4 linked regions of the Notamacropus eugenii genome follow. The protein of the gene in region 3 interacts with the protein of the main gene of each other region in a pairwise test. Links are inferred from orthologs where the notes say so. Each region holds a gene or a part of one and is shown on either strand. Other genes may lie near its edges. The genes, in order: PKN1, EAF1, HOMER3 and WIPF1.

Evidence for each region.
Region 1: the proteins of HOMER3 (region 3) and PKN1 interact in binary tests that used the Homo sapiens proteins (3 or more experiments, as listed by UniProt). The two-hybrid records come from large-scale screens. The link is inferred for Notamacropus eugenii from reciprocal best matches to the Homo sapiens genes HOMER3 and PKN1.
Region 2: the proteins of HOMER3 (region 3) and EAF1 interact in binary tests that used the Homo sapiens proteins (3 or more experiments, as listed by UniProt). The two-hybrid records come from large-scale screens. The link is inferred for Notamacropus eugenii from reciprocal best matches to the Homo sapiens genes HOMER3 and EAF1.
Region 4: the proteins of HOMER3 (region 3) and WIPF1 interact in binary tests that used the Homo sapiens proteins (3 or more experiments, as listed by UniProt). The two-hybrid records come from large-scale screens. The link is inferred for Notamacropus eugenii from reciprocal best matches to the Homo sapiens genes HOMER3 and WIPF1.

The regions. Positions count from the first base shown.
Region 1 is NC_092875.1:76,500,435-76,507,755, reverse strand, and holds the start of PKN1 (serine/threonine-protein kinase N1), read left to right. Parts: upstream 1-4,321; 5' UTR 4,322-4,388; coding exon 4,389-4,427; intron 4,428-6,059; coding exon 6,060-6,381; intron 6,382-7,080; coding exon 7,081-7,217; intron 7,218-7,321. UniProt on the Homo sapiens protein: PKC-related serine/threonine-protein kinase involved in various processes such as regulation of the intermediate filaments of the actin cytoskeleton, cell migration, tumor cell invasion and transcription regulation.
Region 2 is NC_092874.1:38,508,200-38,515,381, forward strand, and holds the start of EAF1 (ELL-associated factor 1), read right to left. Parts: upstream 3,003-7,182; 5' UTR 2,762-3,002; coding exon 2,659-2,761; intron 2,445-2,658; exon of another isoform or gene 2,243-2,444; intron 2,049-2,242; coding exon 1,954-2,048; intron 452-1,953; coding exon 315-451; intron 1-314. Other genes in the region: tRNA N(3)-cytidine methyltransferase METTL6, read left to right, coding at 4,657-4,929, 5,584-5,718. UniProt on the Homo sapiens protein: Acts as a transcriptional transactivator of ELL and ELL2 elongation activities.
Region 3 is NC_092875.1:66,414,151-66,421,054, reverse strand, and holds the start of HOMER3 (homer protein homolog 3), read right to left. Parts: upstream 3,007-6,904; 5' UTR 2,862-3,006; intron 1,555-2,861; exon of another isoform or gene 1,424-1,554; intron 859-1,423; 5' UTR 792-858; intron 1-791. UniProt on the Homo sapiens protein: Postsynaptic density scaffolding protein. Binds and cross-links cytoplasmic regions of GRM1, GRM5, ITPR1, DNM3, RYR1, RYR2, SHANK1 and SHANK3.
Region 4 is NC_092876.1:236,944,810-236,952,567, forward strand, and holds the start of WIPF1 (WAS/WASL-interacting protein family member 1), read right to left. Parts: upstream 3,008-7,758; 5' UTR 1,661-3,007; intron 1-1,660. UniProt on the Homo sapiens protein: Plays a role in the reorganization of the actin cytoskeleton. Contributes with NCK1 and GRB2 in the recruitment and activation of WASL.

The sequences.
Region 1 (7,321 bases), about 10 Mb from region 3:
AGACTCTGAGGCAGCCCCAGGCCAGTCTCTAAAGTAGAAAGGCTAGTGCCTGGATCTAGATCTGTACCCTGAGGCAAAGTCCTGACCCCCAAGGACACTAAGAAGAGGAAGATTCTAGACACCACACCAGATCGCTAAGAGAGGCAGTCAGAAGCACGGTTCTAGTCCCAATTTTGTCCCTAACTTTCCATGCTACCTCATGTAAATGACTCAGCCTCCACTGACCTAATTTTGCCCATCTATAAAATAAGGCAATTGAATTAGATAGTCTCTAAATTCCCCTTCTCTTCTGATGATAATAATAATAATATCAGCTTATATTTATGTAACATTTATGGATTGCAAAGTGCTTTCTCAGTTGTTAAAATTTATATAAATGTTATTGTTACAAAGTGCTTAACATACATTATCTCATGTAATCCTCACAAGTATGGTTATCTCCATTTTACAAAGGAGGAAACTGAACCTGAGAGTTTGTGGCTTAACTGTATTTCATATTTGTATAACACTTTATCACTTACTCCCTCTGAGAGACAGAAAATAGCCTGGGATATGGAATCAGAGGGTTCAGATCCCAGCTCTCCCACCTATCTGACACTTCTCTCTGGGCCTGTTTCTTCCTCCGAAAATGAAAGGACTGAACTAGATGGTCTCTAAGAGCCCTATTAGCCCTAAATCCTATTATCAATAGTATAGGAATATCCTTATTTTACGGTCGAGGAAACTGAGGCTGAGAGGGACTAGCTAAATGATTTGCCCAGAGTAGGAAGTGACAAAAGTAGGACAGGAATCTCAGTGTCCTGACTATAGATGCTGTGTTCTTCCCATTATACCATAGCTGCCCTCAGGGACTATGAGTCTACTCTCAGGTGGTGCTGAAGTGGGGCTTGGGGTAAGAAAGGAGAGAATCTATGCCCAGCCCTTCTGTCCCAGAACAGATGGTAGAGGGTGGCTTCCCAACTCCCCCTATTCCTCTTTCAACTGTTTTTATCCCCACCCTTATGATGGGACTAGGGCAACTGGGGAAAGCCGCAGGGTTCCCCTGTTTTCTCTTCCCCCAACCCCCATTCTAGGATAAAAACAAAGGATGCCTGGAGCTTCACCCCATGTCAGACTTCGGAAAGTGTGTGGGCTAGAGAAGGGAGCCTGGAGTCAGGACTCCTGGGTCCACAATGGGGGAAGGTGGGGCCTAGATCTGTGTATTCAGGATGCTTAGGTCTTTGGGAGAGGAAGGAGCCCCTCCTCCCCATGACTCACTACCACCAACACCAACACCCCCCCTCCCCCCCAGGGCCAAGGGGTTAATTAGCTGTCAAGGCCCTTGAGGGTAGGAGGAGAACCACAAGCATATCTGAGTGACCTGCTGCCCTATACTCACCCAGCTCAATCATCTCCTTCCTTCCCTCCCTATCTACTGGCTCTGAGTGGCCTCCCCAACCCCCATATTGCCTGTCCTGTCCCTCTGTCTGCCTGTCTCCATGCTAACACTTGTCTGTCTGTTTGTCTATACCATGTCCGGGTTCAGGATGTCCGGTTTCTGCTCAGGAAGCTTCAGAACCATTCAAAGTGCCAGACATCATTGGGGGTGGGGATGCCTGGGTCCTGGACTGATGTACAGGCTGGTAGGAGGAAGAAAGTACTGCTTGGATTCAGGGGCTGAGGATGGCTGCCACCTGGGGACCTTGCTGCAGGAAGTGGTGATTCCGAGAGATAGAACTGACCATCCCAGCTTGGCTACTTGCTGGCTGGGTGGCGTTGGGTTGGTCCAGCAGCTCTTAACCATTTTTGGGTCAGTCTTGGCAGGCTGGTGAGGCCTAGGGAGAATAATGTTTTTAACTGCATGAAATAAAATGCATACAACTACAGAGAAATCTACTTATATTGAAATACAGTAATAAAAATATATTTTTTAGAAAACACCAATAGTTCATGGGCACCAGGTTAAGAACCCCTGGGTTAGTCCCTTCTCTCTTGGCCTGTTTTCTCCACTGTCAAATGAGGAGGTTGGATTAGATGGTCTCTAAGGGTCTTTCTAGCTCTAAGTCCTATCCTGAATCCAGCCACAATTTTGGCCTAGAGGAAGGGGAAAGTTTCCCCCTGACCCCAACTGAACCCAGGGCAGCTGCAGAGCTAGGCCCCAAGGCCCCAAAGGCTGAGCATCCCAGCCAGGGAGTGAGTAGGGATTGGGGCAGGCCCAGTGGCCTCTCCCCGCCCCACATTCCTGGGTGACTGAGGTCACCAGGTTCCAGCCCTGCTGCTTATACAGCTGAGTTCAGCTGGCCCTAGAAAGGAGGACTGAGGGAGTCTGATCAGTGACAGAAGGCAGGCACTGTGAGAAGAGGAGGAGACTAAGAGAACTCAATGCCCCTTCCCATCCCTGTCCTCTCCAAGGGCCTCTCTGCCTCCCGCTGGAGTAGCAGGGTAATGAAAAGAGCACTAAAATTAGAACCAAGAGGCCTGGGCTCAGGTCTTAGCTCTGTTACTACTATGATCTTGGACAAGTTACTTCTCCCTCTAAGTCCATTTCCTCATCTATAAAATCAGGCGTAAACTCGATAATCTTTAAGGTCCTCTCCAGCTTATTTCCTCCTTCCTCCTCATGATCCTGTTAGTGAGGGAGGAAGAAAGATAGTCTTCTCTCCCCTCATTCTTCCCTAATGAAGCTGGCTGGGTTAGGAGCCTGGACTCTTGGGTCCCAATATTAGCAGGACTTAGAAGTCCCGGGATTCACAAAGACTCTACCATCAACATTTGCTCTTTTTCTAAGTGACAGCTTGGAGAGATAGGCTGTGTATTTGGGAGACTAGAAGAAGAATCTTGATACAGTAGCTTTATAGTTTTGAGTTGTGAATCCTGCCTGTGATACTTATTATCCATGTGATCTCGGGCAAGTCACAACCTTTCTGGCCCTCAGTTTCCTCCCTCTGAGGCCCCTTCCTTCTATAGATCTGTGATCCTAAGGCCCAGGTCTAGCTCTTGAATTGGGGAATAGTACTGAGGTTGCTCATTTAAGGCATGGGCCTCAGTGCCTGGGGTATTAAGGAGCAGGCTTAGAACAATGGAATGAGGATGAGGGGTAGAGTGGGGGGTGCTGCTCAGGCTGGGGGTGTGTGTGGCCTGAATAGGCCCTTTGTGGGGCCTGGCCCAGCTGGCCCCAGCCCTGGGGGATTGGGTGACTGGCAGCTGGGAGAGGAAGAAGGTCACATTGCAGGCTAGGAGGTGTGGCTCCTGGGTTCCATGCTGGGTGGAGGAGGGAAGGGACCCCAATCACAATGGAGGGAACCATTTTCTCCTCTCTCCCCCCACCCCAATTCTGCCCTCCTTTGGAAGGTGACCTGAACTCAGAGTCACCCCATTAGATGTGGAGTTCAGAGGAACCCAACCTCCAGCCTTAGGACTCACAGAGCTAGACTAATTATGGAGTGGTCTTGGGAGAGAGAGAAGACCAGTTTTAGATTCAGAAAGGGCTGATTTGAATCCTACTTGGGTCCCTTACTAGCTGTGTTTGGAAAAGTCACTAAGTTCTCAGTGACAGAATGGAGGATACTGGGTTTTGATGATCTGTAAGGTGGCTTCTAGCTCTGGGTCCCAGGTTCCCTCCAGTAACTGACCCAGCTCATCACAAGGGCTGCTGGAAGTGGGCTGCAGCCTTGGAGGAAACAGGAAGTCTGCTTTGGGAGATGGGGAAGGACAGGTCTTAGGTATGGGGGTAGGGGAATGGGAAGAGAAGAGTCAGGATTCAGGGGAAAGGGGAGCAAGCCCTGTTCAAAAGTGGTATTATGCCAAAAAGAACATTGGTTTTAGAGTCAAAAAGAGATCATTTGAATTCTGTCTCCTCTTACTTGGTATATTTGGATATCACTTAACGAATTTATGCCTCAATTTACCCTTCTGTAAAATAAAGGAATTGGACTAGAGGATTTTTAGTCCGCCTGTAAATCATGTGATTCCTAAATCCCATGGACCAAGGTCAGCCTCTTTGTGCCTTTATAGAGACATGAGGACATATGGCCAAACGTGGAGACATGCAGTAGATGAAGAGGCCCACCAGGAGGCATCATCATACACACTACCCCAGCCCTGCCTGATGACCCAAGTCTGACCTAGAGCAGGAGGAAGTGGGGGGACCACCCTCACTCACCCTTTTACTTATTCTTCTTTTGGGGGACCCCAGATGTTGTAGCTGGAATCTAGCAGGTTGGTCCTCTCTGTGTCTGGCAGAGGGGTGCTCTTCCTCACCAGTGTTTCCCTGATTCTCTAGTCCCCTTTCCCCCTCCCCCAGGGGGGCCCACATAGAGAGGCCTGGGACTGGCAGGAAAGAGGAAGTAGCAGACACAGAGCTCTGGGCCCTGCCAGGAAGAGAGGGCGGAGCCGCCCTAGGACCCAGGATGGCGGAAGCTGAGCCCCCCTCGGACCTGGAGCTAGAGGTGGGGGACAGGGCCAGGGTTTGGGGGGACTTTGGAGCTTGGACAGTCAAGCCCTGGGGATAGGGACCATCTGTCTACCCTCTTCAGCTGTCTGTCTCCTCCCCCACTTCACTCCCTAGCTGCTATCAACCCAGGAAGGCCAGGGCCAATGACATAGCTTCCTTCTGGGGCCACTAGGTAGGGGTCTGGCTGGGCAGTCCAGTAGGAGTTGATGACAGGATGTGGGATACGGACCAACTGGCTATCTGCCATTCCCCTTCCCTGCCCCAGACAATTAAGGAATTTTTTTGGTCAGTGTCAGACTTGAGGGTTGGTCACAACAAGGATCCTGGGTGACCATGGGATACTCCTGGGCAGGAATTTGGATTTATTGGAATCACCTCTCCACCAGAATTCTGGGTCATCTGGAGTAATTCCCTCCAGGACTTTGCTGGCATTGCCACTTGAGCCAAAATTACTGAGGACCCTGACACCTCTTTTCTGTTGGAACCCCAGTTACACACAGCCTTTACCATTGGCCTGATTCTGACTTAATGCTTCTCTGAGCTTTGGGGAAAGAATATGTTCCAGGGGATTGGGATGGGGAGGGGGAGGAAGGCAGCCCTTTGCACCAAGTAGAAAAGGATTTGAGGTCAACGATCAAATCAGAGATGGGTCCTTGGGCCCCTCCATCCAAGAAGTCTGTACCCAGCACCTATGGTATATATGACCAGGACTTTGTAGGGCTATGTTGGCTGGGAGGCAGGGACTTGGCCTTATCCAGTCTGCAGGGGAGCTCAGACTCCCTATTCTCCGCCTCCCTCTCTTGAAAACTGTGAATCACTGTAGGGATGGGGTTCAGCTTAAAAGGGTCATAGGTCCCCAGAGGGTAAAGGGCTGGAGTAGTCAGTCATAGCTTTCTGGAGGCAATGGTATTTCACTTCTGAGGATAGAGAGAAAGGGAAGGAATTGCATCTGCCAAGGTAGGAAAGAGTCTAGCCTGTTCTGGGGTAGGAGAAGGGGAATTTGGGGGAGCACAGAGAAAAGTAGGAAGGGAGTATAAGGATTTGGGTTCAAGCCCTAGATCTGTAACTTACAATGTGACCTTGGGCAAATCACTTCCTTGCTATGGGCCTCACTTTCCCCCTGTGTAAAATGAAAGAAGGTTTGTCAAGGTCCTTTCTAGTTAATAATCTTTAGGTCTGTGAAGGTGGGGAACCCAGGTTCAGGAGCTTTAAAATGCTGAGGAAGCATAGCATTTAGAAATGGAAGGGACTTAAGAGTCATCTGGTCCAACCCCCTCATTTTATGGAGATGGTTGGGGTGGGGGTGGATGAAAACAGGCATGACTTGCTGGAGGTCACATAATAGCAGATATGGGATTCACAATCCAAGTATCTGATTTAAGCCCTTTTCCACTGTCTCTGCTTCTTCAGACGAAGGGATTTGATGGGGTGCTCCCCAAGCTGTCTCTTCCAGCTCTCAATCTTGTGATCCCATGAGGCTGGGCTTGCCATCAATGTAAGGCTGAGGAGGCTGAACATGGTCCCCCCCCCCCCCCCCAGTTAGGTGTTTCCTCCTGTCCCCTTGGGTTCTTTGGGATCCTGAGTCCCCAGCACGCTGAGCTATGGCCTTTCTCTGTCCTCTCCACAGAGCGAGCCCGGGAGCTGGTCAGTGTTGGAGCAGCTAGGCCTGGCAGGAGCAGACTTGGCAGCCCCAGGGGTACAGCAGCGACTGGAGCTGGAGGTGGAGCGGCTTCGGCGGGAGATCCGAAAGGAACTGAAGCTGAAAGAGGGGGCAGAAAACCTGCGGCGGGCAACCACAGACCTTGGCCGGAGCCTGGGGCCAGTGGAGCTGCTGCTTAGGGGCTCCACCCGCCGCCTGGACCTGCTGCACAGCCAGCTGCAGGAGCTCCATGGCCTGGTGGTGCTGCATGAACCCAGCCAGGCCCAGCCCCAGCTGGGCCAGGCCCAGGGTGAGCAAGGTGCTAAGGTCCCTGGGGAAGTGGCCTGAAAAGCTAAGAGACAGCAGAGACACTGGGCCCTGGGGGGAATCCTGCTGGGTGTGAGGAAGAGTCCAGGTTTGGGGCAATCTTAATGCCAGGGGCTCCAAGGAGAAAAGAAGACTAGGCTCTTGTTGGTCCAGGAGCCCTATAGAGATACCTATGTAACATCTCTGGATGATTATAAAATGGGAGAGGCCTACGGCCACTCCTCATCTCCTAAGGCTGTCCTTTGAGCTGAGGGGTAAGAAACCTAGGTCTAGTCTCTAAACTCTTGTCTCTACCAGGAAATACTGGTAGTTTTTTTTTGGGGGGGGCGGGGGGAGGCATAGACAGGTCAGGATTCCAGACCTCCAGCTTCCCAGCCCCCAGCTTGTCTTTCTGGCTTAAAGTGGAAACCACACCAGCAGCTCCCCTTACCTCAGCTCCCCATGAAATATTCAGACTTCAGGCAGGCAGAGCAGAAGCAAAGCACCTAGCTGCTGGGCAGTGGGACATTAGGGTTCCCAGTTTAGCCACTTACTTTTCAGGGAGAGAAATCTCTAGCACCCCAGGAAGAAAGAGGGAAGCTTGGACTGCTGTATCCCAGGATCAATCAGTCCCACCCAGGGAATTCCTGGCTAGGTACTGGGCAGAAGTGACTCTGACTTCTCCCCTCTCTGTGCTTCCCAGATGGTCCTCAATCCCCCAACTGCTCGGCCACCAGTCTGAGTCTGGTGGCGGGCTTGGAGAAGCAGCTGACCATCGAGCTCAAGGTCAAGCAAGGGGCAGAAAACATGATCCACACCTACAGCAATGGCAACACCAAGGTGAGCTCACAGTGGAGGCTGGGGCTGGGAAGGAGCACATTTCCCTAAGCTCTTCTGCTAAAGACTGGGGGGACAGGGAAGGAAGGGCTAGGAGAACCTTAGCT
Region 2 (7,182 bases), on a different chromosome or scaffold from region 3:
CGGTGGAGCACAGAGCTTAGAGGGAGACAGCCTGGATTGGAGGCCCTTCTCTGACCTTCAGTCCCTTCATTGGTATCCCACAGAAGCAGCACAGCCATGGACTGAATGCTTCCAAGCTGTGTGCCCCTGAGCAGGTCACCAACATCTGGGGGCTTCGGGGAACTCGCTAGGAATCATCTACTAAACCATTTTTTTTGCTGGGAGCTCTTCAAACTAATGATATCAGAGATCCCATGTCACCAGAGGTCCTGGGATGGGCTTTGTCAACTGCCCCATGGCAGATGTGTGCTGGTATGGATTCATCAGATACTCACCTTGTCTTCTTGACCTGAATGCTGCTACTGAGTTTTTCCAACACGTATTCACCAGTGTCATGATTAATGATAAGAACACAGTCTTTCTGATAGGGTCTTTTGTTTCCTTTGAACACAGTCATTGGAGGTGTCGATCCCTATTTAAAGTAAAAGCACAAGACAGTCATCTTAAATGACACATGGAATGTGCCACTAACTAGAAAAAGGTGACTATCTTTTAAAATGGTTAGCTAGCATGAGTAACTCAGACTCATTTTAAAAAGCCCTCCCAACTAATTTAAAGTATTTCCATCCTTTTCTTACCAGTTAAAGTTGTGCATATAGAACAAAATGTACTGATTTCTGGGATAGCTTTTGGTTCCCCCTGGGGATCAAGACAAATAGTGATATGATGTTTATTATCCCTGAGCGGACTAAATGATCCTAAAACAGGGACAGTAATAATTTAAGTATTTTATTTCCTCTTCTATTAATCTGGGCAATTAATGTTTTTGCAAATATTCATCCATTTTGTTTAGATTGTCAGATCTGTTGGCATACAATTGGGCAAAACAGCTCCTAATTATTACTTTAATTTCTTCTTCATTGGTGGTGAATTCACCCTTTTCATTTTTGATACTTGCAATTTGACTTTCTTTTTTTAAATAAAATTAACCAAAGATTTATCTATTTTAATGATTTTTTTCCATAAAACCAGTTCTTAGGTTTATTCATTAGTTCGAGTTTTCTTAATTTTAAAAATTAAACAAATTTTATTAATCTCTCCTTTGATTTTCTAATTTGATATTTAATTGGAGATTTTTAATTTGTTCTTTTTCTAGCTTTTTTTAGTGGCATGCCCAAGTCATTGATCTCCTGTTTCTCTATTTTACTCATCTGCACATTTAGAGATATAAAACTTCCCCTAAGAATTGCTTTGGCTGCATCCCATTAATTTTGGTATGCTGTCTCATTAACAGAGACAGTAACAATGGACATCGGTTACATGCTACGAAGTTGCCAAAGCATTTTATCTCTATTATCTTACTGAGTCAAATCTTTCTCTGTTCTGGTCCATCCCCTCCCCCCCAAAGCTGTAGACCTTGCTCCCCAAGAATTCCCTACACCAGTGGCATCCCCATTCTGGACAAAAAAGTGCAGAGCCCCAAACTGGGCCTGGAGATTCAGGGACAAAAACACGTCTCCTCCCTCTCAAGGAACCTTCCTTCAGGTGCCCATTTTTCAGCATCTTGGGCTCAAACCTCTCTGGATCAGTTCTGCTTTGGGACGCGACACCTCGATTTGATCTCTGATCCCGGGCTCCTCTTACGGAGACGTCCTGCTTCCATCCCAGCTGCCCAGACCCTGTGGCCTTAGGCCTGCCATCTCTGTCCATCCCCTTTAATTCTGGACCCACGCACGGCCTGGGCTTTAGGTGCTTATGGGGGACTCCACCCTCCACCACCCTCCACCCAGGTGACTCCCAGCCTGGCCCAAGGCTCCGGGCAGCCACGTGTTGGTGAAGGCGGTGCTAGCCACTTTTCCTCTAAGCAGCTGACCCTTGTAAGGAATATTACCCCATTACCACCCAAAACCATTAAGGACAGACACAGCCCTGGCACAGCGGGGCACTCCCGGCCTTAGACACAGGCCCACTCACCGGGATGTGCGGCAGCGTGATGGTGACCTCGTCCCCTTTGCCCACCTGCAGCTCTCCTTCGCACGAGGTGTCTATGGACGCCGGCTTGAAGTCATCTGGGAGGACAGACACGGTCAGGCCCGGCCGGGCCGCTGACCCGGGGCCCCCTGGCGGGCCCGGCTGAGAGCTCGGACGTCGCCCTGGCTCGGGTGAGCGCCCAACACCACGAGCCCCCGCTGACGGGGGGGGCCGTCTTAGGCCGCCCCCCACACGGAGCCCGCGCGGAGCCGCCCCGAGTCTCCACGAGGAAGGCTTTGGGTCGGACGGGGCTTTTCTGGGAGGCGTAAGAGGAAAACCCAACAGCCCGATATGACGGCGAGAGAAAAGCGCGAGGAGTGACGGGCCGAGCTCCGCGACCCCGGGCCTCAGTGTCCTCCTTTGTCCGGAGGGTCCAGCGGACCGCTCCCGCGTCCGGACTGCCGGGCCGCCCCCGCCCCGCGCGGGGCTCACGGGTCAGACCGGGACGCTAAAGGAAGCCCCTGGGCCGGGCCTCGGGAGGGGGGCGGGGCGGAGGGGCGCCGGGGGCGTCTACGAGGAGTCTGTGGGGGGCGCTGGGAAGGTCCCGGGAAGCGGGAGGGCGGAGCGGAGGACTCCACCGGGGCCCGGGGCGGGGGGGGAGGGGGCTCGGTCGGGGGCGGGAGGCCGGTCCGGCCCGCGGGTACTCACAGCGGATGGTGTGGAAGGAGGACTTGGGCCTCTTCTCGAAGCTCTCGCCGAGCTTCAGGCCGTGCTCCTCGCGGTCCAGCAGCGGGTTCGCGGTGCCGTTCATGGCCCTTTCCCCGCCGGGGGAGGCGGCCTCCAGTTACCGCCCGGTCCGACCCCTACGCCGGTTTCTTCAGCGCCGCCCCCGCCCTGAGGGCCGGCCGGCACTTCCGGCAGAGGCAGGGGGGAATGGTGCAACTGGGACACCGCTCCGCTCCGAGGCTGCGGGGGCGGGGGCGACCCCCAAAAGAGGCCGGAATCTCCTTCTACGCTTCCGCCGCGCCAGGGGCGGGGTCTATGGGGAATAGGGAGGGAACTTCCGGCGTCACCGCCCCTACCGGAAGTGGGGCGGAGCAGTGCTACAGGGAAAGCGTTCCGACCGAGGCCCGGGACTGAGCACACTTCCGGTCCGCGCCTGGGAGGGTACGGGCTGAGCTGCTCTGGGACAGGGCTGCGCACCTGCTCCGCCAGCCTTGGGCCTTGTCCGTGCGCCCCCGGCCCCGGCCCCGGCCCCGGCCCCAGGCCGACTCGGCCGCTCGCCACAAGCCGGGTAGGTAAGGCCAGTTAGGGAGGTTGTGCCCATCCTACAGACGAGGAAGCTGAGGCCCTGGAGACCCAGAGTCCTCATCCCGGCCCCTCCACTGACTAGCCCCATGGCCACACGCAAGCCCTCTCCTCCCCCCCGACCTCAGTTTCCCGGTTTGTAAAAATTCTGTTCCAAGATGAGGGTGGGAGGAGCCCCGGCTCTCTGACTCTTGGGCCTCAGTTTCCTTTTCTGTAAAACGAGGGGGCTGGACCCCACGTCCCTTGCAGCTCTGCTCCCCCCACGAGCTTGGCCAAAGTGGGGGTGAGGGGCCGTCCAGCCCCCAGCCTGGCCCCTGGTACCCAGCCCTGGAAATACAAAGGCAAGCCTGCCCCCAGGGGGTAACGCTTGGACAGGCCCTCGAGGCCCTGGAGGCCAGCCGCACCTCCCTAGGGCCCGTGGTACCTGGTCTGGAAAACGTGGCTGTACCCCCTGGGGTGGGGGGTGCAGAGCGGGGTTTAGGGGGGCGGCCTGGGGTGGGGGGTGCAGAGCAGGGTTTGGGGGTGGCCTGGGGTGCGGGGTGCAGAGCGGTGTTTAGGGGGGCAGCCTGGGGTGGGGGGTGCAGAGCGGGGTTTGGGGGGTGGCCTGGGGTGCGGGGTGCAAAGCGGTGTTTAAGGGGGCAGCCTGGGGTGGGGGGTGCAGAGTGGGGTTTAGGGGGGCAGCCTGGGGTGCAGGGTGCAGAGCAGGGTTTAGGGGGGCAGCCTGGGGTGGGGGATGTTGAGGTTAGACTCCCCTCCCCCAATAGATGCCATGGTTTCCTTCTTGTTCCCACACAGTGGGTGTGACAAAAATTACATTGGCACATAGTCTGGCATATAGTGGGCACTTATTAAATACTGGATTTTTCAGGAATTCTGTTTCTGCTGAACCATCCTCTGGGGAAGGGAAGAAAATATCACCACAACAATAATAATTGCGTCTGTTTATATGACTGTGTGCCACGTACATTGTGCTAAAATTGCTTCGTAGTCGTCTCATTTGGATAAACATTTATATTGTGCCTACTGTGTGCAGGCACTGTACGCTTGTGACACAGGAAGCTATAGCCCAGCAATGAACCCGTTACTATGTCGCTTCTAATCTACATAAATTAAAACAACAGAAATAGAATATAAAATGATCACATGCTCTCATTCAACAATCCAGGAAGACCTGGATTTTTGCTGAGTGGGATTTCCCCACTTGATTTTTGGGTGATGCAAATACAGTTTTACAAATACTATCTCATTTTATCCACCTTAAAATGTTCAACTGACCGTATTCTCATTTTTATTCCTTTTTTAGCTCCTGATCCTGTTTGAGTCGGGGGAATTGCTGCCTGAAAATGAACATGAGGAAACCTAGCTAAAAGAAATTATCCTCAAAAGGGCTGCAGGAAGATGAATTCATCTGGGAATTACAAGGATGAAGACTCTTTAATGGGATTACACGTGGTAATGTCCACCAGTGGAGAGAATCTACTTCGGAAGAAAGAACAAGAGAGCAGGCCTCAAGACAGAGATGGTACAGTTGTGTCTCCCTTTAAACAGGCAAAACTAGAAAAGGAGGCCCAGAAGAATTGGGACCTGTTTTACAAGAGAAATAGTACAAATTTCTTCAAAGATAGACACTGGACCACCAGAGAGTTTGAGGAACTGAGGGCATGTAGGGAGGTAAGTCAACTAATACTGCCTGTATAAGAAAGATAGTATGTGTTTGTCTTTCGTTGCCAAAGAAAAACATGCCATCAGAGAAATAATGATGACTTGTGAGGGAGGGCTGATAAGAGAAATAAGGCCTGAATGGGACTCCTGGGGAGGAAACGTGCTGATCCAACATCCCTGTAAATTATGGTATTAGCGATTAAGTTACTCACGGGACTTAACCGAGGTCCTCCTGACTTCTGAGGCCAACTCTAGCTCAGAAGTACCAGCACCTAGTAAGCATTTAACGAATGCTAGTTGACTCTGCTTTTGTGGGCGTTAAGTAAATGCCAGTGAATGGGTCTCAGGTTTTGGAGATTCGTTAAATGCTTAGCAGTCTACTTGAAGGTGTCTTTTCTGCTGTCCTGCTGTCTTAAACTCTGCACATCTTATCTGGCTTACTTGGTGCTTGTGACATGAAAAATACAGTTGGCCAGCAAACCATTTACTCGAAGCTGCTAGTGAAACTTAATCCAACACAAATTAAGACAACACAAATAGAACATAGAATTATCACATGCTTTCTATTCAGCAATAAGACCTAGATTTTGAATAGGTGAGAATTAGCAGTTTCATTTGCTGATCATGCAAATATAACATCTACTCTTTTTTTTTTCCCCTCAGTTTGATGATCAGAAGTTGATTATCCTTGAAGCTGGCTGTGGGGTTGGAAACTGTTTATTCCCACTTTTAGAAGAAGATCGAAATATCTTTGCTTATGCGTGTGACTTCTCACCCCGGGCTGTGGAGTATGTTAAGGTTGGTATAGTAGGTCTGTGATGATACTTCTTTAAGCCCATTTATGTACATTTGATTTGGCACAATGGAGGCTAAATTAATCCTTTTCTGTTACAATTGATGTTACCAATTAGTGCAAATTGTGAAAGGGAAAATAAGTTGGTTGTATGCATATACTGAGACTCTGACCAGCAGCTTTTAGGTGGTGACCCCCTTGGTAACTGGCAGAGTGAAGGTGACAGGTTTACTCACCCACTTTGTCACTCCCGTGACCCATGACATCTCACTCTTGAATTGGAAGCACAGAGTGGCAGATAGAAGAGACTTTTGAAGTAATTTTTGCCTTAACTCCTCCCCAAAGCACAAAGCGAGCTGAGGGATCCTCAAGTGAATTGTGAAGTCTCAGTGATCCTTGCCTGTCAGCACTGATTGTGAAACATCTTTCCTTATGTTTTCTTGAAATCTGCCTTCCTGTAATTGCCCTCCATTCCCGAGGGCCAGGCAGGACGAGCCTGCATGACAGAGCTACGTGTCAGGATTCAGATGTTGGCTTGTAGCTCTCAAGTCCCCAGGGAGTACTCACTTCCTTCAGTGACTCATCTTTTGGCCTGGGTGGTACCAGGTCCCATAGCGTCGCAGTCATTGTCCTAGGACTTTTCAAAAGGGCTCCAGAAGCCTGGCAGGGACACTGAAGGGCTTTACCATTTCCTTCTCCAGCTCATTTTGCAGATGAGGAAACTGAGGCAAACAGGCAGAAGTGACTTGCCTGGGGTCACACAACCAGTACATGCCTGAGGCCAGGTTTGAACTCCCAGTGTTGAGTCTTCCTGACTTCAGGCCCAGCACCACTCTCTGCACTGCCTGGGTGCCCCAAACTTCTCCCCTTAGCTGATTTTGACTCAGGTCTTTCCTTTTCTCCCTGTAAGTTTTCATCTTGTTAGTCTCATCTTACGATCCCAGCAGAGGACTTTTGCTCCATCTTGGTCAGTGATTAATGAATATATAGATGTGAGAATCAATAAAATAGGTTTCTGAAAATCTTAGTCTAAATATTTTATGAGTTCAGGATTCTGCCCAGTCCTGGAGTTACAGCCATACTGTCAGGGTGTAAGACATACAGTCCTGGGATACCTTATTGATAATGGAAAAGGAATACTAGAGTTCCTTGGGATTCCAATACATTGAAAAACCTCTCAGTCTTAGAAGGAAAAGATCCCCTGCCAATCCTCCATGCTTCAAAGAGAATGAAAGGATGACTGTGAGGTGGACTGTGAGCATTCAGAAAACTGTCTAGGGGAGGAAGATTCACCGTGAGGCCTTCCCAGAGCCTGGAAGCCTGAAAGCTCTGCTGTCTGTTCATTAAAAAAAAAAAAAAAGCCCTCTGTTTGCCAGAAGAGAGATTCAAACTGTAAGATATATAAGAAAGGTAGTATCACATTCTGTGGGAGCAAAATGTAGAAATGACAGCAGGTAACTGATGTGTAA
Region 3 (6,904 bases):
CAGTATCTCAATTTGAAAGCTGCCTCTGCTACTAATTACTAATACGACCTTGAATGAGCCCCCAAGAGGCCTCAGTTCCTTATTCTGTAAGTTTAGATAGTTGGGCTGGATGACGCTGTTGTCACTCCCTAAAACGTAAGGCCTCCAACCCAGGTCCTGGAGACCAAGGAGACTGCCCCAGGACAAAGTTCATCCTGCCCCCTACACCACATCCCCCCCCCCACAACACTGACTAACACTTGGTTGTTCATGGATCCTCCTTCAGCCAACCAACACACAAGCCCCACAGGCTGGCAGGGGAGGGAGGAAAAGTGAGGCAGAGCCTAGGGGTGGTCCATGAAGTATTCCTCCCTTCCCCTAACTACAGGGCAGGGATGGAGAGAGACCAAAAGCTCTGAGGGCCCTGTGGGGCCTAGTGAAGCAGTAAAGACAGCTAGCTGGCCTAATCACTTTCATTCAACACTTATAAAACCCTTCCTTATACCTCAGACATTCTACAATGCTGATGGGGCCCTTGAACCTGTACTATAGGTTTTATAGGTCCTGAGCAGAAAGATACCACAGAAACTCCCTCATTCAACCCCCTCATTTTATGGAGAAGGAAATAGACCCCTGAGATATTAAGCAGTTGGTCAAGGTCACACAGGTGATAAGGCATATACAAAGAACTCAGTCCCGGGTCCTGATCTTAAATCCAGCATTCTCCTTATTACCAGTTTTCCTGCCGGAACCCAGTTTGGTAATACCACCTCCCCCACCCCCAGCACACACATATACACATGCAAACACACCCACAAACCTGCCGCCAGGGTCTAGGCAGGAGAGAGAGGGGCTTAAATTGGCTAAAGCCTGTGGGTCCTGTGAAGAGAATGATCCCAAGGGAGTCTGGGGTATTTCAGCCTGATTGAGGATTCCCTTCACCCAAACCAGACCCTCTTTTCCCTTCCCTGCCTTCCCTCCCTCCTTGCAGCTGTGCTGGTCACATGGGCACAGCCTGAAACCGGACCCCCTTCCGCCCCCACCTTGGGGGGCAGCCAACCCCCATCCTTGTATGTTGCCACCTCCAACCCCCACCCCTTCCTGCTTTCTGCTTCCTGTCAAGGTTTCCCAGAAGGAAATACTGAACTGAGACCCCTGTCTATCCTACTCCCCCTTCCTTCAGGCTCCCTGGGAGCTTTCCCACCCCTGGTGTTCCCAAATGAATCACAAAGCCAGGCTCTTCCCCATCTGGGCTCCCCATCTCCCCTCTCCCCCACCAGTGCTCCTGGCAGGGCTGGTGAAGTTGGCTGCTGAGCAGGGTGAGGGGAGCTATCCCAAAGGGCAGCAAGCCCCATCCCCCTCTCCCAGCTGGCTTGAATCCACTCCCAGGACTCTCTTTGGCTGTTCAGTTGTTTTGAAAAAGTTCTTTGGGGTCAAAAGTCAGATCAGCTGAACTGGGACAGAAAAAACACATATAGAAATCAAGAGACCTAGCTGCTAGCTCTAGCTCTTCCAGTCACTTGTTGTACGGCTCTGGGTGAGTTCCTTCCTTTCTCTGGGCCTCAGTTTCCCTTTCTGTAAAATCAGGGTGTTGGATGAGAGTCCCTTCCAGATCAGGCATTCTGCAGTTTGATACCCTCAACCACAAAGAAGGTAGGCAAGGGGGAGATCTAGGGGTCTACTCATTCCAAACTCCTAGAGTTTTGACACAATGTACCAGGGGGTCAGGGAGCTAAAATCCCCCAAGAGCCCACAACCCAGTATGGAAAGAGAGTTCATGCTGGGAGATCTGATTACCCTGGGCTGGGGTCAAGCTCACAGCTTCCAGGAGCCCCTGGAGTGAAACCCTTTTTCTCAAGGCTCAGGGTCATAAGGTCCTAGATATTGGGGCACCCAGTTTCCTCCTCTCCTGACACCTGGGCTGGGCACAGAGGGGGTGGTGCCCACAGTGGAGTTGGCAAGTTGAGGCATACAACTCGCCCTGGGCAGAGGCGTTCTCAAAGATGGGGGAGGGAAGGCTGCTTCTCGTAGTCCCCCCACCCTGAATCGCCCCCAATCCAACGTGCCCAGGCTTAGGACGAGAAAGTGTCTCAGAACAGGGGGCCTCATGCTGCTTTGGTTCCCCCTTTGGCTTCTTACTTCCCCTACTGTAACGGGGACTCCCCCTTGCTTCCTAAGGTTTTCCTCTAATCTTTAGCCATAGAACTGGGGACCCTTATTCAAACTGCCCCTCCATGTTCTCCCTTATCTTTTAATCCTGGGACTGGGAACTCTTCTTCTTCCCGAGGCCCCCCTATCTTCTCTCTTATCTGCAACCCCGTGGCTGGGAACCCTGCCTCTCTCACCTTCTTCTTCACCTCCAGCTCTGTAGCTGGGGACTTTGACTCTGCCTGGGTCCCCCCTATTTTCTTCCTCATCTCCCCCGTGACTAGGGATCCTTACTCTGGGTCCCCCTATCTTCTTCCTCATTTTTAATCCCGGGGCTGGGAGCCTTTACTGTTCCCAAGGCACCCCCCCTCCCGCGGTCTTCTCCTTCATCTCCAGCCCTGGAGCTAGAGACCTTGACTCTGCCAGGGTCCCTCACCTCCCTCATCTCCAGCCTCGAAGCTAGATAAGGAGGATGGGAGGGGGCGCCTCTCCCACCTCGGTCTCCCCAAGCCTCTCCCTGCTCCCCAGCTCCCAGGAAGGGCTGCGCCCCCTCTGTATCCGCGCCGGGCTGGGCTGAGAAGAGCCAGGCTGGTCCCTGGGGCAGCCAATGCCCCGCGCTCCCCACCCCCCACCCCCGCGCGCCTCCAGACCCGGGCTGCCCCCGGCGCCCCAGCCCGCGGCACGAAGGCGCAAACTTTGGGGAACGCCGAGGGTACCCCAGTAGGCTGGCTCACCCGCTAGCTGCCCCTGCCCGTGCTGCCCGGACCTCCCGCTGGCCAGGCTCCCGTGCGCTCCCGGCACCGCGTCGTTCCAACTTCGGGCCGGGGCTCCGAGCGCGCTGCGCCCCCGGCGGGCGGCCTCAGCGCCGCGCCCTGCCCCGCGCCGCCGCCGCCTCCGCCGCCGCCGCCGCCCCGCAGTCTTTGTCTTCCCGGAGCGCCCGCCCCAGCCCCAGCTCCAGCCCCAGCCCCAGCTCCAGCTCCCCAACGCCTCCGCCTCCGCCCGCGGCCGCCAGCCCCATAGCGGTCCTGGCCCCGCGCTGCCCCCCCGACTTTATCTGTCTGCTCTCGGGCCCGCTCAGCGGCGCCACCTGCAGGACACCCGAGCCCCGCCCCGTGGGGACCGGTCACCTCGTGGTCAAGGCTGGCTCCGCGTGGCGCGGCGTAGCGGGCAGCCAGGGGCGCCGCGAGGGCGAGGAGGAGGTGCGGAGGCGGCGCCTCCCGGCTCCAGCACATGCCACAAAGACAGCCACAGCGATACATTGTATCGAGAGAGCCGCGGGGAAACACTTACGCAGTGCCGGCCACATAGTAGGCGCGTCGTGTTTACTGGCTGACTGAGAAAGAGACCCTGCCCCGAACCCTTCAGTCCCAACTTTAAAGCTCCTACTGGGTGCTTGGAGCTCAGGAGGCTACTGAACATGTGGGTGTCCTAGGGTACCCCTCAGCTGTAGACAGTGCCATGCCCGCTTTTCAAAGCGCTCCCTCTCTCTCTCTCTCTCTCTCTCTCTCTCTCTCTCTCTCTCTCTCTCTCCTCTCTCTCCTCTCTTTCTCTCCTCTCTCTCCTCTCTTTCTCTTTCTCTCTCTCCTCACACTTCAGTGTCACCGGAGGCCCACGAACCCCCTCTCTCCTTTATCTAGGCTTTACCAGGACACAGAATTGAAACTCCACCCTCCGGCCCTTAATCGCACTGAATCCTGTGTCCCTTCTCAGCTTCCTGTATGTCAGTATCAACTCCCTTACCCAGACTGCCAGTTCCCTGGGAAAGGGCCCAGAAGAGCTTTGGCTTTGGAGTTGGAGGACCTCAATTCAAATTCCTTATATTCCTGATGCTTTCTGGGTATCAGGTTCCCCCTCTGTAAAATGTTCCTATCATATTAGAAGGTCTCCTCAGATCCCTTGTAGCTCACTCTTAACAATTTTTCCAACTTCCTTTCCTCCACAGTATGGCCACTCTGGGCTGGGCTGGTTGGGGCCTCTCTGACTGTATTTTGGAGGTCCCCTTCCCTCCCCCCAAGATCCTGTGCCTTTCCTCCTTCCTGCTGCTGCTTAATGCTTTCCTTGCTCCTTTAATTTTTAACAAATTTATTTAACAACTGTGACATACAAGTGGAGGCCCTGCCCTCTTGGGCTCACAGCCTCAGAGGGAGGAGAAACCTAATACGAGAGATAAAGTGGACTGCAAGTTAAGGAGGAGTGGTCTGCTGGAAAGAGAGTTGGGTTCAGAAGCAGAACTGGGCAGGCCCTGTGGAGGCCACTGAGTGACTGTGGGCAAGTCATTTACCTTCTCTGAACCCCCATTAGTGAGGGTCGGGGTGTCTACCTTCCATATCCCAGATGAGATGATGTATAGAAAGCTCACTGAAAACCCTGAAGGGCTACAGCTCTTAGGTTAGAAGTAATTTATTAGGACTTTGGCCCAATAAAGAGGAGGGTTCCCTAGTGGGTTGTAATTGGGCCCCCTGCCCCCACACCCCTTCAGACTCATTTCTGTTTTTTCTGCTCTCCCAGAACTACAATGACTTCTTTTCTCCTTATAGATTATTAATACCATTCTTTTTTTCCTGACAAGCAAAATGCTTCGGGGAAAAGAGCTGCAGAAGGGACTCATAAGGAAGGTTTATAGACTTATGGTGTACTGCAAAGCATAACGGACTTGAGTCTACAGGATCTGGATTCAAATCCTGACTGCCACTTACTGCTTCTGTCATCTTAGACAAGTCACTTCAGGGTTGGACTAGGTCCCTTCCCTAGGGAAGGCCTGATCACAATCCCTTGGTGAGGTCACTGTGGACTAAGGAGACCCTAAGGAGACCCCTTCTGGGTGCTAGTTTTCCTCTTCTGTAAAATGAGGGGACAGTCTGTTCCACCTCTGTCACAGGGTTGACACGGGCAGATTAAGCATGACAAAGGCTGTAGATTTGAGCTATGTTGTGTGCCCTGGAAAATGCTAGCCACTATCTCTAAGCAAAAATTCTACTGAGCAGGGCCTCTCATCACTTTTTAATGGGTTTTGATGAAATCTGGTCCGTGGGCAGAGGTTACAGAGATATGTGATTGCATTGAGAGAGGCCCACGGTTCACAGAAGCCTCTAATTTTAATTTGTTTACAAGGGGTATTTTTAATTCTTGACAGTGTGGCTTTTGGGGAAGATCATTTTAAATTTGCCCTCCATGTTTGCCTTCCCTGGTCTCCGTATGACACATTGCTGAAATCAGGTTCTTGTCCTGATTCCATCTGTAAGGGACTTGAGTAAATCAGTGGCCTTCTCTGGCCCTCAGCTTTCCCTTCTGTGAAACAAGCACATTCAATAAAGGATCTCCAAGGTCCTTTTGGGTTCTGCTGCTAATATAATTACTTTAAGATATCTGGTCTGATCTAAGCCTTTCTCCCTCTCCCTACACACCTGATCTATTGCTAACTTTTGTCTAGTCTACTCACACAAGACATCTCCCATCTGGCCTCTCCACTCAGTCACTGCCCTGCTTCAGACACTCATCACCTCTCACCAACAGTATGCCAAAATCTGTCTTCTGTGTTCTTTGTTCAAGGATGCCATCCAACTCTGACTTACAGTAATCAAAAACACTGTCACAAGTCTGTGAGACATGAATTACAACTGGAAAATATGTCAACTCAAAAAGACAAGCTCAGGGGACCCCTTAATACCCATTACAACCAAGGCCCAATCCTGCCCCCAAATCCCATCCTTAAAAACTCTTCACTTGATCCTTCCATCCCCTCCAGCAATCACCTATTCAAGGGCCAGGACCCTGTGACCCTGATGAAACATGTGGCCCTCTAGGTCCTCAAGTGAGGCCCTTTGACTAAATCCAAACTTCATGAACTTCCTTTTATTAAGGGGATTTGCTCTGTGAAGTCTGGATACAAAGGGCCTCACTTGAAGACCTAGAGAACCACATGTGACCCCCAGGCTGAAGTTTCCCCAGCCTTGGCCTTTGATCCCTTTCAAAGCCAAACTCCTATAAAGTTGTGCCCACTCCTTTGTTGGCCCTTTGGGATCTGGTTTATAACATGTCGATGTAAACTGCTCTCTCCAAAGTCACTTAATGATCACTTATTTGTTGAATTCGATAGTCTTTCCTCAAGCCTCACCCTTGTCTCCCTTCTCCCAGCCAGTGACTCTACTGACCACCGTTTCCTCTTTGGGGATCCTTTTCCTACTACCTCTTGCCCCTCCACTACTCCTCATTCCCATCCGCCCCACCCCTCCCATGGCGGTGTCCTCTGTCTCTGCACAGCTCCCGGGGGTCTGCTCTCATCTTTATGTCAAAGAATCCGAGGTCTTTATATCCAGAATTATTCTTACTCTTAAGTATCACCAAAAGTGGAACAGCCAGATCCAGCTGGATCAGAGAATCAGAGAATCTGCACCAGAAGGGCCTTCAGAGGCTCTGTGGTCCAACCCCCTCACTTTACGGAAGAAGAAACCCACTCAGAGAGGTTGTGCTTTGTGCTTTGTCACACAGCTCTGAGTGCCAGAGGTGAGAATGAGGCTAGGTCTTCCTAACTCCCAGCCCAGAACTCACTAGCATTCCAAACTCGACATGTCCAAAAGGGAACTCATCATCTCTCCTCCCGCCTCTGCCTGATTTACCCCCTTCCTTCCTGACCGTCACCCAGGTTCACATCCTCAGTCTTCTCCCTGGCCTCTCCACATCCACTTGTTAAGTTTTGTGCAGTCTACTCACACAAGCCACCGGCCTCTCCATGCAAGCCGCCATCACCTCTCACCTGGACTGTGCCCAAAGCCTCCTG
Region 4 (7,758 bases), on a different chromosome or scaffold from region 3:
CAAGAATGGTCATTTTCGAACTTCTACAATGACATTCTTCACACCTTTCACATCCTACTGGTCACCACTTCAGCCACCCTTCACCTTTATTTACCCATTATTTATCTGAGATTCACAATAACAGACGTGATTATCTCCATTTTAGAGATAAAGAGACTGAGGCTCAGATAGGTTAAAGGACTGGTCCATGATTGCACAGTTACTAAGTCCCAGAAGCAAGATTTGAACACAGGTCTTCCTGCTGCCAAGTCCAGCACTCTATCCACTATTTCCCTCTTCCTCTCGGGTATAAGACTAAGAGGGACAAAAATGAAACAAGAGAGGGGTGCCCAGATCTAGCCTGCTCTGACCAACACCAGTTGTCTAGGGCTTGCCTTCAAACAGACCCACCCTTTGTTAAACTAAGAAGTTTCCAAGTCTAATGCCAGTTCTGCATTTGGACCACCAGGCAGAATTCCTGCCTGGGTCAGCTTGTTTCCTTTTCCTGGTGAGAGCACTGACAATTAACTTCTTTAAATCTTTGGAAGATATTATTAGAAAAAAGCAAAAGAAAGAGTAAGGAACTGGAGAAACAAATGATTGCAGAGAAGTCTGGGAAGAGTATATCCTATACTTTTGAAAAGTGCTGGGTAGAATTGGCAGTGATTTTAAGGTCAGTGACCATATGCACACACACATGCATACACGGATACCAGCAGATGCAAAGAGGGAACGTTTGGAGGAGACATTCAAGTAGGCAAGAGTCCAATTTAAGGAAGGAACTGAGGAAGGTGATGTGTTAGTGGACTATACAACGGAAAGTAACTGTTTCATTTTAAAAAAAGCTGATGGGGATGCTGTACAAGTCTCTTTTAGCTTTTCTCCTCTTTTTGGTGCAGGTAGTGTGCAAATTAGCTCTGGACTCGTTATGCCTCCGCCCAGAGCAGCTCGAGTACTGGATTTTTGCAATCTCGCCCTATAGTCAAGCGGAGCCCAGGAAGGGTTGTCAGTTTGCTTTGTCCCGGAGCGCAAGGGCAGCACCACAGTCACCTTCTTCCTAAGATCTCCAAGTACCTCTTGCCCTGCGGTCCCCGGACTGCCCCATCCCGGCCAGAGGGGAGGAATCAAGAAGGCGAGGCCATCCGAGAAAGCGCCTTGCCGGCAGCCAAAGGAAAAAGTTAGCCACTTTGTGAAAGCTGGATGAAGGAGCTGGGAACACATCTGGGAGAGCAGGGCCTGGGAGGGGACTGATGTTATTCAACGAAACCCACTCTTGGAGTAAATAAGGACTGTTTCGACATCTCTCTCTTTTTTTCTTTTCTCCTTACTTCCCACGTCACTATCTCCTTCTTCTCCCCCCTCCCACTGATCCCCAAAGTAGTGTTTCCAAATCCCCCTCCCAGTCCGAGGGAAGGAGCAGGGCATTCACTTCTGCAGATGTGCCTTGCAGACCAGAGAGAGGGTCTCCTAGCCAGATGCTGCACTCATAACCTCCAGGCTGCGAGGGCTCAGCCCGACCCCGAAAGCCCCGCTTGCTGACAGGCGCGCACAAATATTCATCCAACTCCCCCTAATCCCCCACCTCGCCCCACCTTCTGAGCTGGAGCCTGGTTCTGAAAGTGGGGGCGGGGGCGGGGGGAGAGAAGATAAGCCAGGACGAGGAAGAAAACGCGTCTCTTACCGGGTGTGCTCCGCTCCTAGAACCCTCCCCGCGGGCTCCCTCCCGGGATGAGGGCGGCGGTCGCAGCTGCAGGCGGCGGCTCCCGCTTGTTCCCCAGCAGCTGCAGCGCACGGGGCATTTTTCTCTGGAAAACTTCTCCCCGGCGGGCAGGAAAAGCTCTCTGCGCTCGGAGGCTACGACCATCCGGGAACTTCGCGGTGATGTAAACCCTCCCACTCCAAACATTACCTCCCCCACCCCCCTGCCCGCCCCTCTACCGGCCCTGCCACATGTGGACTTAGCAGGCCGCTGCTGCCGCCGCTGCTACAGCTGCCACTGTGGACGCTGGAGACCGCTTCTTTCCTGTCTTCAGTCAACAAACTGTTGAGCGCCTGCCGTGTGCGAGGCACGGAGGTTAAAAAGGCGAAGACGTCGCTGTCCGTCTCCTCCAGGAATGTATGGTCCCGTAGGGGGATGGCACATGTATTCCCATAACTAGTATTTATGGCATAGGAGACTGGGCACTGGGGCTTGGAGTCCGGCAGACTTGGGTTCACGTACCAGCTGTGTGACCCTGGGAAGTCATTTAACCTCTCTTTGCTCTGTTTTCTCATCAGTAAATGAGGCGGTCGGATTTGATCTCCAAGGTCCCTTCCAGTTCTAAATCTACGACCCCACGTTAAAATGTGATGAAAGGATTTACAGAGAGAAGAAAAACAGAAGGGTGTGAAGAACCTGGGGACCTTGGAATCTTAGTTGGGTGGAGAGAGGAGGGAACAGGGAAAGGTTCTCGAAGGGGGTTGAAGGAAGAGGATTTCCAGAGAGAAGAGTCATAGTTTGAAATATCACAGGATTTGGAGACAGGAAATCTGAGTTTGAATCTGTGTTCCATCACTTTCTGCTTGCATCACCTTGGGCAAGTCACTTAACAATGACGGGTGGAGAGACACTGTCTCAGTTTCCTTTTTTCTAAAATGAAGGAATGAACTGTATGATCTTTAAATTTCCTTCTACCTCTGACAGGGAATGTGGGGTGGTGGAGGTGAGAGATGCTAGGAAGAGATTCGAAATAGCTATTAGTTCACTTTAACTGGAATAGAGATAGGCATGAAGGGTTGTGTGACGTAATAAATCCGGAAAGATGGGTTAGAGCCAGTTTTGAATGCAGGATAGGGGCCTTGAACTTTATCTCCTTATATCAATATCCCGCAGGGGCCTTCTTCAGAAGCAGCTCATTTGGGTATGGATTGGGGGAACAGGAATGTAAAAGCTCCATGTGCCTCTTTGTCTAGGTGAAGAGTTGTGCACACTGAATCATAATCTGAGTTGTCCTAAAATTTTTTTTCTGAAAAACTAAATTGTATCTTTTAAAAACTTATCCAAAAGAAATATAGATGTCTCCACATCCAGAGAAAGAACTTGGGGGTCTGAATACAGATGAAAGCATAATATTTGTTCTCCTTTTCTTTTGTTGTTTCATTTTGTTTCTTCTTTCTCATAGTTCCTTCCATTGGTTCTCATTCTTCTTTGTATCATGATTAATATGAAAATGTTTAATATGAATGTATAAGTGGAGCTTATATCACCCCATCTTGGGGCGGGGGTGAGGGGGAAAGGATAGGGAAGAAAATTCAAAACTCAAAATCTTATGGAAGTGAATGTTGAAAACTAAAAATAAATTAATTATATATAAAAAAGTAAAAAGAAATATAGATGTCTTTCAAAGTGGAAAAAAATGAGAAAAATAATTTGTTTTGATGTAGCATTTGATAATAGTCCTAATGAATTATTAGAAATTATTATCCTTTTACAAATAAGGAAACTGACTTTCACAGGGGTTATGTGGCTTGTCCAAGGGTCCCACAGTCAGTAAGTCCATGGCTGGGATCTGAAACAAGGTACCTCCTGACTCTAAGTCCTGAGCAGTGGAAAATGATAAGATGTTTTGGAGCAAAGGGAGTAACATAATCAGACCTATGCCTTAGGAAGATTATTTTGCTACCTCAGTGTAGGATTAATTGGACAAGGGTGAGACTGGAATGAGGTAGCTCAGGTGTATAAAATAGTATAGTCAAAAGGTGATAAAAGTCTGAACTAAGATGGTAATGTGGGAAGTAGAAAGAAGGGAACAGATGAGACATTTTGAGAGGGCAGAATGAACAGCATTTGACAATTGGATATGGGAGGTGAGGGAAAGGGAAGAATGAAATATAGTTGATTTGAATGAACTTGGATGACTTGAGAAGATAATGGTATCATTAATAGAAACACAAAAATAAGGAGGAGGGATAAGTTGTTGTGGGTTTTTTTTTCCTCTGGGAAGCTTGAGTTCCATTTTGGATATGTTGAGTATGAGGTGTAGGAAGGTCATACAGGTAATATGGCAATATGCTTGAAGGTAGATGTTGGAGCTGGAGATTTAGATTTGATTATTATCTTAGTGGGAATGTTTGAAACCAGGAAGTAGGTGAGATCATGAAGGTCACTTTCTAGAAATTTAGCACTGAAAAGGAGGATAGAGAAGAGGAGGGAGTCATAGATAGAACCTTAGGGGATAACCACACTGAAGTGGCTATTATAGGATGAAGAAAAAAACTAGTGAAGAAGCCAGAGGAGTAGTCAGAAAGGTAGGAGGAGAACCAGGAAAGTACATTGTAATGGAAGGCAAAGGAAAAGAAAGCAAAAAAAATGGAGATGCTTAAGAATTGTTTTTTAAGCAAGAGTTGATAAAAGGTTTTGGTTTAGGTCAATTGGAATATCATTCTTGGGTTCACAGAGAGTAGTTTCCCTGGTGAGGTAGGGATGAAAGCTGTATTTCAAGGGATTATTGAGAGATGCACAGGTGGTAAGGAAGTGGAAAAAGTGCTTGGAAAAAAAGTTTAGCATCAAAAGAGAAAAAAGAGATGAAAGATGAAAGAGAATTGCAAGGTAATGGCAGAGACAAGGATGTGATCAAGAGTTTAGGTGGAGTAAACCTGGACAGTGAAGAAAGAAGTCTACCCCCTTCACTCAGGAGGGAAAGAGAAAAGGATGAATGAAGACAGAAAAAGATTTTTCCATGTGAAGGAGAGATGAGAGATTTCATGTAGGATAGCTTCAGTCTGGGGAAGGCAAGGTCATTTGTTGAGAGAGAAGATGGGTAAAGGTTAGGAGTTTGAGAAATTTACTGGGCAGTCCATCAGAAATAAATTTAAATATTATTATGCAGTAGTGAGGGCCCAGTTAGATTCAATAGCATGAATATTATGCATATTAATAGGTTTCCTTTAGCAGCTCTCAAGTAATAATCAGAAATAAAAGGGGAAGCTGCAAATAAGGTGATGAGGTGATCCAAGGTTGAAACAACAGAATTATGTTATTAGATGATTTAAGCATGGGTCACGATGCCTCGTTTTTGAAATGACTCACTATTATCACTAATCGTCAAGACTGATAAGGGACATCTTAGACCTAGAATAGGAATGGACTTTAGGGAGATGAAACTACAATGGGGGTAGTGATAGGAGGATATAATTGACCTCAGGGTGAAGGCAAAGAAGAGAGTCAAGAAACGGAGGTGGAAGTATAGAAAGATAGACAGATTGTCACCTAAAAAGAGAATTTCAGAGCTCTGGATCTTGAAGGCAGATGATGTGAGGCCTGAGATAGGAGATAGAGATAGAGTAAAATGGAGATTATGGGAATTAGAGTGAAAAACTGAGACATCAATTGAACTGAATTGAATTCAATAAATTTATGCTAAACATTTACTATGTTTGGAACACAATTATTGGTGGAGATGAATACCTTGCGCTTTGGGAAGGATGGGCAGAATTGGAGAGAGTTAAGAGAACTCCAGCCTTCTCCAGTCCCCCTGTGGGGACTCTCCAAGTGAGAGTCTTTTTAGAGCTTCTATTTGACTTCGGGGAGAGAGAGAGAGAGAGAGAGAGAGAGAGGAGATGGAGAAGATGGAAGAAGCCAACCTTACTCCAGGTTGCAAAAGGAAAAGCCTCTGGGAAGATATGAGAGGTGCTTGTGGTCTCCATGTCCCTATTTTCAATTTGCTACTCTCGAGACTTTGGGGAATTTCCCTTTGGGGGAGATCTGGGACATTTTGATGGTTGAACTGTAATCTGGCTCCTAAGGGGAGAGCTCCTTCATTCTGTATTGTCTTGTATATATTCTCCTTTGATTTGTTTTGCTTCTGATTTGGATGTATGAGTTTTTTTGTTATTTGCTATGTGTGTTCATTATGCAATGGTATTGTGTGGGAAAAGGGTCAAGCCTTGGCTATAGAACTTGAGGTTCTTCTTTCTACCCAAATGACAAAGAGAACAGAAGTTAAATGGAACCTGAACGTATCCCCTATGTGAATAATATTTAAGGAAGTTGAATAGATATACTTCTGGTCCCATACAGTCTTTCTCTGAGAAGAGTATAGTGGCCTAACTTTCTGCTTTCTCTCCTGGCAGGAATGAAAATCTCCTTTGGAGAAGGGTGGGGGTGGGGAGGGGAAATAGGCTAGAGATGTCTATTCTGCCTCCTTTCAAGTCATGTATGGGTCCCCACCTTATACTTGTGAGGCCCATTCTCTCTACTGCTCTTCATCAATGGCTCCTCAGTTGTTTCATACATGTACTAGTATTCCTCTTCATTAACAAATTAGTGTTTAACCTTTATTTTACTAAACACGTGTATTTTAGAGAAAGAATGTTAGATTATTTGGGCTAAAGGAGAAGAATCAAAGATGTAAACATGCCCTACCCTCCACTCAAACTATCATACTATAGCTTTACTCTCACAGTCAACTTACTATAAACAGCTGTCTACAATTGTTGCCTCCTCTTTCCCACATCCCACTCACTTCTCAGTCCCTTGTAGTCTAGTTTCCACTCTTACCATTTGATCAAAACTATTCTCTCTCAGATCACCAGTGGCCTCTTTATTACTAAATTCATTGACTTTTTTTTTCAGTTCCCATCCTTCTTGACCTTTCTGGGGTATTTGACAGGATCGACCACCTTCTCCTTCTGGACACTCTCTCTTTCCTGGGTGCTGATGATACTCTTTTCTCTTAGTTATCCTCCTATTTATCTGATTGCCTATTCTCAACCTCCTTTACATCCATGAATATGATTATGTATATTAAATAATATGCTAAAAATTAAATAATAAGAGGAGGAGATGATCCAAGGTTGGGAATTAGCAGGTCAAGGAACAGCAACTGTATGTTATTAGATGATTTAGACATGAGTCATGATGCCTCCTTTTTGAAATGGCTCACTATCATCACTAATCCTCATGACTGATAAGGGACTACAGGATCTTAGACCTACGACCTTGGGCAAGTCACTTAACCCCAACTGCCTCATCCTGGGTCATCTCCAGTCATCCTGATGAATATCTGGTCACTGGATTCAGATGGCTCTGGAGGAGAAGTGAGGCTGGAGACCTGCACCGCCCTTCCTCACTCAAAACACAGTGAAGTGCAAGTCATGTCATCATTTCTCTGATAGCATGGTCTTCTTGGGCAATGAAGGACAAACACACAAAAAGTAGGAAACAAAAATATATTAAATATTCATTATAATCAAGTTGGATTTACAGTAGGAATACAATGACGGCTCAATATTAGGAAAACAACATAGTAACTTATTAACAATAAAAACAATTTTATAATATGTTTATACCAACACATGAATGTTTTTGATAAACTAGCACATGTATTATATTAAAAACACAATCATATCTTTATAGTTATATAATTAATGGCCAGAATATATGATCCCACAAATCTTCTAATTTTGAGCCTTCATTGGATTCCTAGTATAAATCCTACTTGATCATGATGAATATTTTAATATATATTTGCTTCTTACCTATCAGCATTTTGTTTAATTGATTGTAAAAAGTTGAATCTGTAGAGGAAAATGTCTCCTTAAAATTTTTCTTTCAATAAAATATTTCCCATGTATATGTTCAAATAGCACAAGATTCCTTGACAGATGAGATAACTTTGTTCAGTGATTCAGTGATTATAAATAAAGGTGTTGGTCACTGTCATGGAGGACATCACATTCATAGTTAAAACAAGAGAGATTTTTCTGCAAATAGTCAAAGTCCTTCAAAGGTTCCCGTTA